2 linked regions of the Arabidopsis thaliana genome follow. The protein of the gene in region 1 interacts with the protein of each later gene in a pairwise test. Each region holds a gene or a part of one and is shown in the gene's direction. Other genes may lie near its edges.

What was found. The genes of interacting proteins can lie anywhere in the genome.
Region 2: the proteins of AT5G24740 (region 1) and SHR interact in a protein complementation assay, tested with the Arabidopsis thaliana proteins (one study listed by BioGRID).

Annotation. Positions count from the first base shown.
Region 1 is NC_003076.8:8,486,842-8,491,843, reverse strand, and holds the start of AT5G24740 (vacuolar protein sorting-associated protein, putative (DUF1162)), read left to right. Parts: upstream 1-1,976; 5' UTR 1,977-2,140; coding exon 2,141-2,246; intron 2,247-2,347; coding exon 2,348-2,425; intron 2,426-2,506; coding exon 2,507-2,619; intron 2,620-2,703; coding exon 2,704-2,797; intron 2,798-2,877; coding exon 2,878-2,921; intron 2,922-3,099; coding exon 3,100-3,168; intron 3,169-3,470; coding exon 3,471-3,532; intron 3,533-3,820; exon of another isoform or gene 3,821-3,905; coding exon of another isoform or gene 3,906-3,928; coding exon 3,929-4,136; intron 4,137-4,576; coding exon 4,577-4,645; intron 4,646-4,742; coding exon 4,743-4,822; intron 4,823-4,958; coding exon 4,959-5,002. Other genes in the region: AT5G24750 (UDP-Glycosyltransferase superfamily protein), read left to right, coding at 17-76, 190-229, 540-764, 949-1,023.
Region 2 is NC_003075.7:17,690,101-17,694,359, forward strand, and holds SHR (GRAS family transcription factor), read left to right. Parts: upstream 1-1,586; 5' UTR 1,587-1,770; coding exon 1,771-3,366; 3' UTR 3,367-3,759; downstream 3,760-4,259. UniProt on the Arabidopsis thaliana protein: Transcription factor required for quiescent center cells specification and maintenance of surrounding stem cells, and for the asymmetric cell division involved in radial pattern formation in roots. Essential for both cell division and cell specification.

The DNA of each region.
Region 1 (5,002 bases):
TGTCTCTCTGAATTAGTATGGTGCCATACAACTGGATGTTCCGAACATGCGCTGCAGCGATTCATCACGGTGGCAGGTAAAAATGTCACATGGATATCTTTTCTTGGTGAGCATGGACACACATATAAATAGACGTGAACTGATTTTTTCTTGTCTTTCTATATGAATTGTGTCCCCTGTGGAAATCAGCGGTTCTGTTGCTGCAGCATTACAGGCTGGAATCCCGCAGGTTTGTGTTTGTATGTTAGTTTATTAGATCTTTGATATATAAGGGTAAAACTAATTGTTTGTCGAGAAGGATCAGTAGAAATATAGCTGTACAGTAACCAGTACATCAGAAGAACATGTCATGGTCCTTCAATAAACTTTATTGCTATATGATTACTCAGCCAAAAACTTTACTAGTAATTTTGCTCATAAACCATAGTTTTGTGCACTGCTTGGTTACAAAATGATGATTAACGTTCTTAAAGCGTTATCCATTTCAAGTTGTAATGCCAAAAAGTGACCACATAATGTGTGTATATGTCTTTTTACAGATCATATGCCCATTTATGCTGGATCAGTTCTATTGGGCAGAAAAGATGTCTTGGCTTGGAGTTGCTCCTCAACCATTGAAAAGAAACCACCTGCTTCTAGAGGACTCAAATGATGAGAAGAACATCACGGAAGCTGCACAAGTGGTAGCGAAAGCCATATACGATGCACTGTCTGCAAAGACTAGGGCTCGTGCCATGGAAATTGCTGAAATATTATCTCTTGAGGTAACTATTTACGATCAGTTTACTATTCTTCTCCTCCTGATCCATGCCCCCAGAATCAAAGTATCCTTTCTTCACATGGAGTTTTTCTTTTCTTTTCGATGTAGCGTAGTCTTTTCTCTTTCATAGTTTTGAGTAATTTCTGGCAACTGGTAGTTTTAAGGTATCCAAAAATTAATGATTTCAGGATGGAGTCACAGAAGCTGTGAGAGTGCTTAGAGAAGAGGTGTGTGTAGTTTCAGGCAGCAACCGAATATTTTGATGAGCATTGTCATATATACAACGTAAAGCTCATATCAAGTGATGGTGATCAATGCCCTACCGATTGTTGGCATCCATAAATTTAACGTCTATTAATGTTACCAAGTCTCCATCTGTCCCAATATAAAAGACGTTTAAGGATTTTCTCTTTTATTCCATTTTATTAGTTTTCTCTAGTTTCTATGTACAATTTATATCATTTTATGACTACTTAAATTGTACAATATTTATTTCTATTAGTTGAAATTTTATAAATGAAAAAACATCTATGATTTCTTTATCTTTGGATTAAAATATATAAGACATCATATAATTGTTTTCCATTTAACTAAAATCAGTTTTAGAGATTTGAATGTTTTAAAAAGTTTGTGATTTTTTTTTTTTTTTGTGGGTCAAAAGAGTGCTAACTTTATTATATCATATAGAGCCATTACAAACTAGTACAAGCCTGAAAGTTTAGCGGGAGACTCAAACCCGAGAGTTTACGAGAAGCCTAAAGAGAATTACAAACAAAAGACACACAAAAATGGGTAAAACATACCCACATAACTAAGTTTTTAAACGATCTTAGCAAACTGGAAAGAAACAGATCAAACTAACAAGGAACTAATAGTAAGAGAAATTCCAATACAAAATAAAATACTAAGAAGAGAAAAACTGAATCTCTCGCTTAACCATCATCCCCATTAACCTTTACATTTAACGTGTGACATGGCGAAGCCATGAGTGCAATCCCATCAACCCACAATCAACCCGAAACTTCTACAAGAGCCTCAAACATCGAAGCCATGAGTCCCAAAAATTTGCGAGTTTCAAATCCCTTAAATAAGAGCCAATTAGCGTATTAGCCGGTTAGCGTAATCAAATTTGCAAAAATTGGGAAATTTTGGTCTGACCCGGTTCGGTTTGAAAGGTACGAAACCGAAAGAAATATTCGTCTTGTGATTGTGAAGAAGAAAGAAGACAAGTCTTTGTTTCGTCGACGGGAAAGAAAAACCCTACGATATTCCTCGACTCGTTTACACTTCTCCGACCACCGTCTCTTTCCTTCTTCTCCCGACGGAGTAAAATTCGTTATCGCGTTTTGAATCACCGGATTATGAAATAGCGATTGAAAGATGCTTGAAGGATATGTGCAAGGATTTGTGAACCTGTTGTTAGGGTACTTAGGTCGTTACATTAAAGACATCCAGAAAGACCAGCTCAAGATCTCACTCTGGAATGGTATTTTCACCGTCTTCTCTTTCCATTTTCCGTTTCAACGAACACCACAATCTCCCACTGTATTTGATGATTTACGCACAATTTCTTGCTTCTAACTGCAGGAGAAGTCTTATTGGAGAACGTGGAATTGAATCCTGAGGCGTTTGAGTATTTGCAGCTTCCAATTGCTCTCAAGCAAGGTGATAGTTAGTGGATTGAAGTTTCGATTCTGTCAGCTTTTTTTCGTTTTCTCGGGATCAAATCGTTTATTGTTTATATAGGCCGTGTTGGGAAATTGAGCATTAAAATTCCATGGAAGAAACTTCATAGGGATCCTGTAACCATTATGATTGAAGATGTCTTTATATGTGCATCGCAACGCAATGATCAAGAGGTGATTACTCTTGTTTAGTAGCCCTTTTCTACATGAAAGTGTTTGCCTCTAAAACCATATATGTATATTGCTTGGTCATTGCAGTGGAGTTCAGATGTCGTTGAGAAAAGAGAGTTTGCTGGTAAGAAAGCTAAACTTGCTTCTGCAGAACTGGCAAAATTGTCCAGGCGTGTCTTCGGTGAGCAAATATACTTCTTGTCCTACAAAATTTATCTTTCCTATACAAAATTTGTTGAGTTCCTTCATTTTTTTTCCCAGACAATCCAGGCGGAAATTCTTATATGTCATATATTACTGCCAAGGTAACATTACGTTCCGCAATCCTCCTTTTGCTACCTCTAGTTAATCATCTTACATTTTTCATATTATGATTGATCTGTTACTGGTTTTTAGTAGATCTTCCTGATTTTGGATGAGGTTATCAATCTTATTTATTTTATTTTTTTCTACTATGTTAACGTTCCTTCTTTCTTGGCTTAGATTCTTGATAGCGTTCAAGTGTCCATCAAAAATTTTCACATCTTATACTCAGATGCACAACCTGAATCGGTAAGTCTCTTGCTTGTTCAGTTTAATTAGTTTGCTAGAATATAGGCTTGTATTTTGTTATCCTCCCATTGATATTGTTGAAACTTATATACATCGATCATATCGTAGTATTGGTTTGTTTGTGAGAGCATAGCATTTATCATGGAGGATATGTATCTAGATAGAGTCAAATATATTTGAGCATTGTGATGCTAAACTACTATCAGTCTTTCTTGTGATTCACTAGAATATAACTTGAATAATCGTTTGGTGTTGTCTACTTTCCCACTTTCATATGTTTTTACTCTAAACTGCTGTCACAGGGGCAAGTTGTATTAGGATTGCGGTTTTCAAGCTTGACAGTTACTAAACAAAACTCAGTTGGGTAATCTCTTTATGCACCTTCTCTTGCACTTTTAAATGTACTCCACTTTGTGTTTGATTCCGAGCTTTGCTTTATATATGGCAAGGATATGTTCTTTGAATTACATTGTGAGACAGCAGAGAGCAGACCCCGCATTAATTTCTTTCCAGTTGCCTTGTTTCTTCTATGTCACTTAATATATATTCTAGTTTCGTATTTGATTCCTTGTAGCTTTGCTTTATTCTATTGGTTTGGCGATACCCCATTATAACTTTCTTCCAACTGTCTCTTTTCTTACTGTAAAATCTCCTTAAACCTGTTTTTTCCATAAGCTAAATTATTGTTGATAAGACAAGACCTGTGGTGGATATATGTGCTTCCTGAAATATTTGACATGATGTCTCTGTTGAATATCAGGCCATCAGTTGGTAGGGTGAGAGGGGGGCAAGTGAATATACTTGTGGAGGTTGAAGGTTTGGAAATATATTGTGACATGTATGAGGGAAACATGGACTTTCCAAGTGTTAATGAAAAAATAGGTTTTGACAATTGGTGCCAGTCAAGATTGCAAAGCAATAGATTTGGTTATTTACTGAAGCCAGTCCATGTTTCTGTAACGCTATTGGTAATGGATCTAAAACAGCGTCATTGGTTTGCTGTCTCTTAACATCTTTTGTTATCATCTAATCTTTGTTGCTGCTTCAAGGTGCTACATCCTTGCTCTTGCTTTAGGGTTATGTTAAAAATGAGATGTACACATTTATATGTTATATCTGCCGTACTGAGTCTTGATTTACCTGATGGCCTACGAAATTTTGATGACATATTAATCAATCAATGTTATCAGAAAGGATTTGCATAACATTTTTGCCAATTCGTTTATATGTCACCATCAGCTCCATATGGACATTGTGTTTGGTGAAAGATTTTTACAGCTATCTGATCAATGATACAATATTTATACAGAAAGTAAATTGGTCTATGCATCAGCTATTGCTTGAGTGCATTTTTGTGCTGTATGTAAATAGGCATTCTTCATTTTGCCTGATATACTTCTTTGCATAGGTCAATCGATCTGGAGAGCTTTATGACGATCTTCCTCAGTATTCTATCAGCGCTGAGTTGACTGATGTGGTTAGTTCTCAGAAATTGCTAAACTAGGTTCAGAGCTCAGATTTATTTACCATTTCATGACTCACTCTAACTTCCAATTGGCACTGATGCGTTTTAGGTGGTGACTCTGAATGAATTTCAATTGCAGCAGATTCTTATTCTGTTAGATTATTTGCAAACCAGCCAGTTGCGTGAGAGGTAAGCTTTCATTAGGGTAGCGATAATTTTTCCTCAATTCAAACTTTTTTTCCTCCTGAGATTTAGCTCTATTATTGGATACTACAGAACGTTTTTTTGAAGAACTACTGATTAAAGAACCTTTTAAATGGTATAGGTATGGGCGGTATCGTCCCTGCTCCACTTCTTTATCGAGGAAAC
Region 2 (4,259 bases), on another chromosome or scaffold:
TAATAATTACACATTGCTGTTTATATAAGGTAAGAGAATATGACACATTGGTTGGTTTCTTACGGGTAAATGTGAAGAAAAAAAAATAGTAATATTTGAGAAAATCTAAAATAGTAAAGAGGTATATATGGAGAAGAAGAGAGAAAAGGGAAAAATAGTGGCAGAGAATGGAGAGAGGTTAGGAGGCAAAGGCAAATGTGGAGCTTTGATGATGTTGATGCACGCCGTCAGCTTTTCTTCACGCCTGCTCCCACTCACTCACACCTATGAACATTCTCTCTCTATTTTATAATTATATTCACATGTCTCTATGTTACTATGTAAATGGTGACCACTTAAGTATTTATATATCATGTATATATCTTATAGGTATCATACAAAATGGTCATGAAACTTTTGCAATTTCAATCTACTTGTTCATTGTAGATGCTAGCTTTTCACATGTTTTGAAAATTAGTCTGGATCTGAAATTCTTTAATTAGCATTGTTTTGTTGGTCAACGTTTAATTTCTTGATTATTGATGTCAAAAATTCAGAGCGTTCAGAACTCTTACACTAATTTCTTAAAAATAATCGATTAAGAGAAAATAGAGTTTTCATGCACCAGTGTTGATAGTAACGTAGTCGCGGAATGTCTAAAACGATTATGAGTTTGGTGTTTTGATTGGTTAGAATTGGTATTAGTAGGACATTCTAACTTTTTTGTTAGTCTGTTGATTTAGGATGCGTAAAGAGTCTTTTTATTTTACACCAGTTGAGACTTGGGATCGATAGTACTTGAAACACTTGGTTGGTTTCATGTATTTGGCCTATATATAAACAAACATCGTAATTATATACGGATTTTTTTCGGAATTTTACGCCATATCTGTAAGTATATATAACATGCATGTCGTTTTCAAATTCATATGATGAACGATCCACGTAAGTGCTACTACTCCTACAATATTGCATGAGAGAGATATGTATTTATAAATTTTATTTTGAAGAAGAAATAAGAGGGAAGGTTACTTGGGTGGATCGATGTGAAAACAAAAGAAGAAAAAGCGAAACCCACTAAGCCATTACATGATATCGACCTTCTTATCTTTTTCCTCTTTATTTTATTTTTCTCAGGACTTTTTTCTACTTAATGAAACCTCCAAACTATCTAACTAATACACTCCCATGTAGAATAAAGAAAATTATATAAGATATTGTTGATATTTTGTAACTAGAAAATATATTTGCTCTGTAATTTTTCGTAAGTTAAATCAACATTTTTCAGTAGAAACAAATATTACTGCAAAAAGTAGGATCATTATTTTTGTCCAAAATCTCAGTTAGCTATAGGGTTGTAGTAAAAACAAAACACATTCTTGATTTGCCCCAAAAAATAAAGAGAGAGAAGAATATTGTTCAAAAGTGGTCTCTTCTCTCTCTAATTATGTTTTCACTAAACCCAATTAGATTCAAACAGTCTACAAAGTCCAAAAGATAAACATGGGACAACAATTCGATGCAAAAAATCCTCTTTTCATGCTCTTTTTTTATTCTCTAGTCTTTTAAATTACTAATAAAAACTCACAAATCCACCAAACCCATTCTCTACAACTCACCTTCATCTAGATTTACCCACTCCCACCGAGAAACACAAGAAAAAAAATATACATATATAAATATACAAGACAACACATGATGCTGATGCAATATACACAACAAAGTATTAAATCTTAGATATTGTGGGTCTCCCTTTCTTCTATTCATTTTCTTATTCATTAAAAAAAAAAAATGGATACTCTCTTTAGACTAGTCAGTCTCCAACAACAACAACAATCCGATAGTATCATTACAAATCAATCTTCGTTAAGCAGAACTTCCACCACCACTACTGGCTCTCCACAAACTGCTTATCACTACAACTTTCCACAAAACGACGTCGTCGAAGAATGCTTCAACTTTTTCATGGATGAAGAAGACCTTTCCTCTTCTTCTTCTCACCACAACCATCACAACCACAACAATCCTAATACTTACTACTCTCCTTTCACTACTCCCACCCAATACCATCCCGCCACATCATCAACCCCTTCCTCCACCGCCGCAGCCGCAGCTTTAGCCTCGCCTTACTCCTCCTCCGGCCACCATAATGACCCTTCCGCGTTCTCCATACCTCAAACTCCTCCGTCCTTCGACTTCTCAGCCAATGCCAAGTGGGCAGACTCGGTCCTTCTTGAAGCGGCACGTGCCTTCTCCGACAAAGACACTGCACGTGCGCAACAAATCCTATGGACGCTCAACGAGCTCTCTTCTCCGTACGGAGACACCGAGCAAAAACTGGCTTCTTACTTCCTCCAAGCTCTCTTCAACCGCATGACCGGTTCAGGCGAACGATGCTACCGAACCATGGTAACAGCTGCAGCCACAGAGAAGACTTGCTCCTTCGAGTCAACGCGAAAAACTGTACTAAAGTTCCAAGAAGTTAGCCCCTGGGCCACGTTTGGACACGTGGCGGCAAACGGAGCAATCTTGGAAGCAGTAGACGGAGAGGCAAAGATCCACATCGTTGACATAAGCTCCACGTTTTGCACTCAATGGCCGACTCTTCTAGAAGCTTTAGCCACAAGATCAGACGACACGCCTCACCTAAGGCTAACCACAGTTGTCGTGGCCAACAAGTTTGTCAACGATCAAACGGCGTCGCATCGGATGATGAAAGAGATCGGAAACCGAATGGAGAAATTCGCTAGGCTTATGGGAGTTCCTTTCAAATTTAACATTATTCATCACGTTGGAGATTTATCTGAGTTTGATCTCAACGAACTCGACGTTAAACCAGACGAAGTCTTGGCCATTAACTGCGTAGGCGCGATGCATGGGATCGCTTCACGTGGAAGCCCTAGAGACGCTGTGATATCGAGTTTCCGACGGTTAAGACCGAGGATTGTGACGGTCGTAGAAGAAGAAGCTGATCTTGTCGGAGAAGAAGAAGGTGGCTTTGATGATGAGTTCTTGAGAGGGTTTGGAGAATGTTTACGATGGTTTAGGGTTTGCTTCGAGTCATGGGAAGAGAGTTTTCCAAGGACGAGCAACGAGAGGTTGATGCTAGAGCGTGCAGCGGGACGTGCGATCGTTGATCTTGTGGCTTGTGAGCCGTCGGATTCCACGGAGAGGCGAGAGACAGCGAGGAAGTGGTCGAGGAGGATGAGGAATAGTGGGTTTGGAGCGGTGGGGTATAGTGATGAGGTGGCGGATGATGTCAGAGCTTTGTTGAGGAGATATAAAGAAGGTGTTTGGTCGATGGTACAGTGTCCTGATGCCGCCGGAATATTCCTTTGTTGGAGAGATCAGCCGGTGGTTTGGGCTAGTGCGTGGCGGCCAACGTAAAGGGTTGTTTTTATTTTTTCATAAGGAATTCGCAAGTTCGATTTTTACTTGAGATGGTTTCACACGTGTGGTGATGGTTGATGATGGGCTTTGAGATTGAGAGAGTTACGATTATGATGATAATGCAGTTCATAATATGAATTTGGATTTTGGAATAGGACTAATTAAGTAATTCTGATCATTGAGGTGGGTATCAAGGTTCATACAATTCGTGATTTTTTGTTTTGTCTTTGGTATTTATTAATTTTAAAAATCCATTTTGGAATGAAATTTGTGATTACTTTTGTTTATCCGAAATAATAGGGTTTATTTTCCTCTATAATGAATGTATGGTTCTATGTTACACGAAAAGCTCAAAACTAGTAAGTGAGTTTCTTTCTAGATACGTGAGCTTTATATGTAAATTAGTTACTGTTACATTGGAGGATCATTGAACTACTGGAATTATAATGGTGGAAAAATATAGTATAAATGAATAAGACTAGCAATAAATATCAAATTCAACAACAACTAATACTGATTAAGTTCTATAATTATTCCATGTTTTTTTTGTTAGATATAATATTCCATGTTTCTAATAAAAGCATGTTCACTACTTCACTTCTTCTCGGTTCGTGAATATATATAAATAGAATCTTAAGACAGCTACTTTGGTTAGGGAATCTCTTAGTTGGAATCTCGTGAATGCACCTCTAGTGGCTTGCACGCTTCTGAAATGTATATTGTCATGCTTTTGATCATTCATAATCGATCTTATTAAGGTATGTTTACATATATATGATCCTAGTGAGCGATTAATATTAGAGGTGAACAGACTCTCACACAAGAAAGGCTTATTTTACATTTATACATTATCAAACTCAAAACACTGGAATATACGATTAGACCTCAAA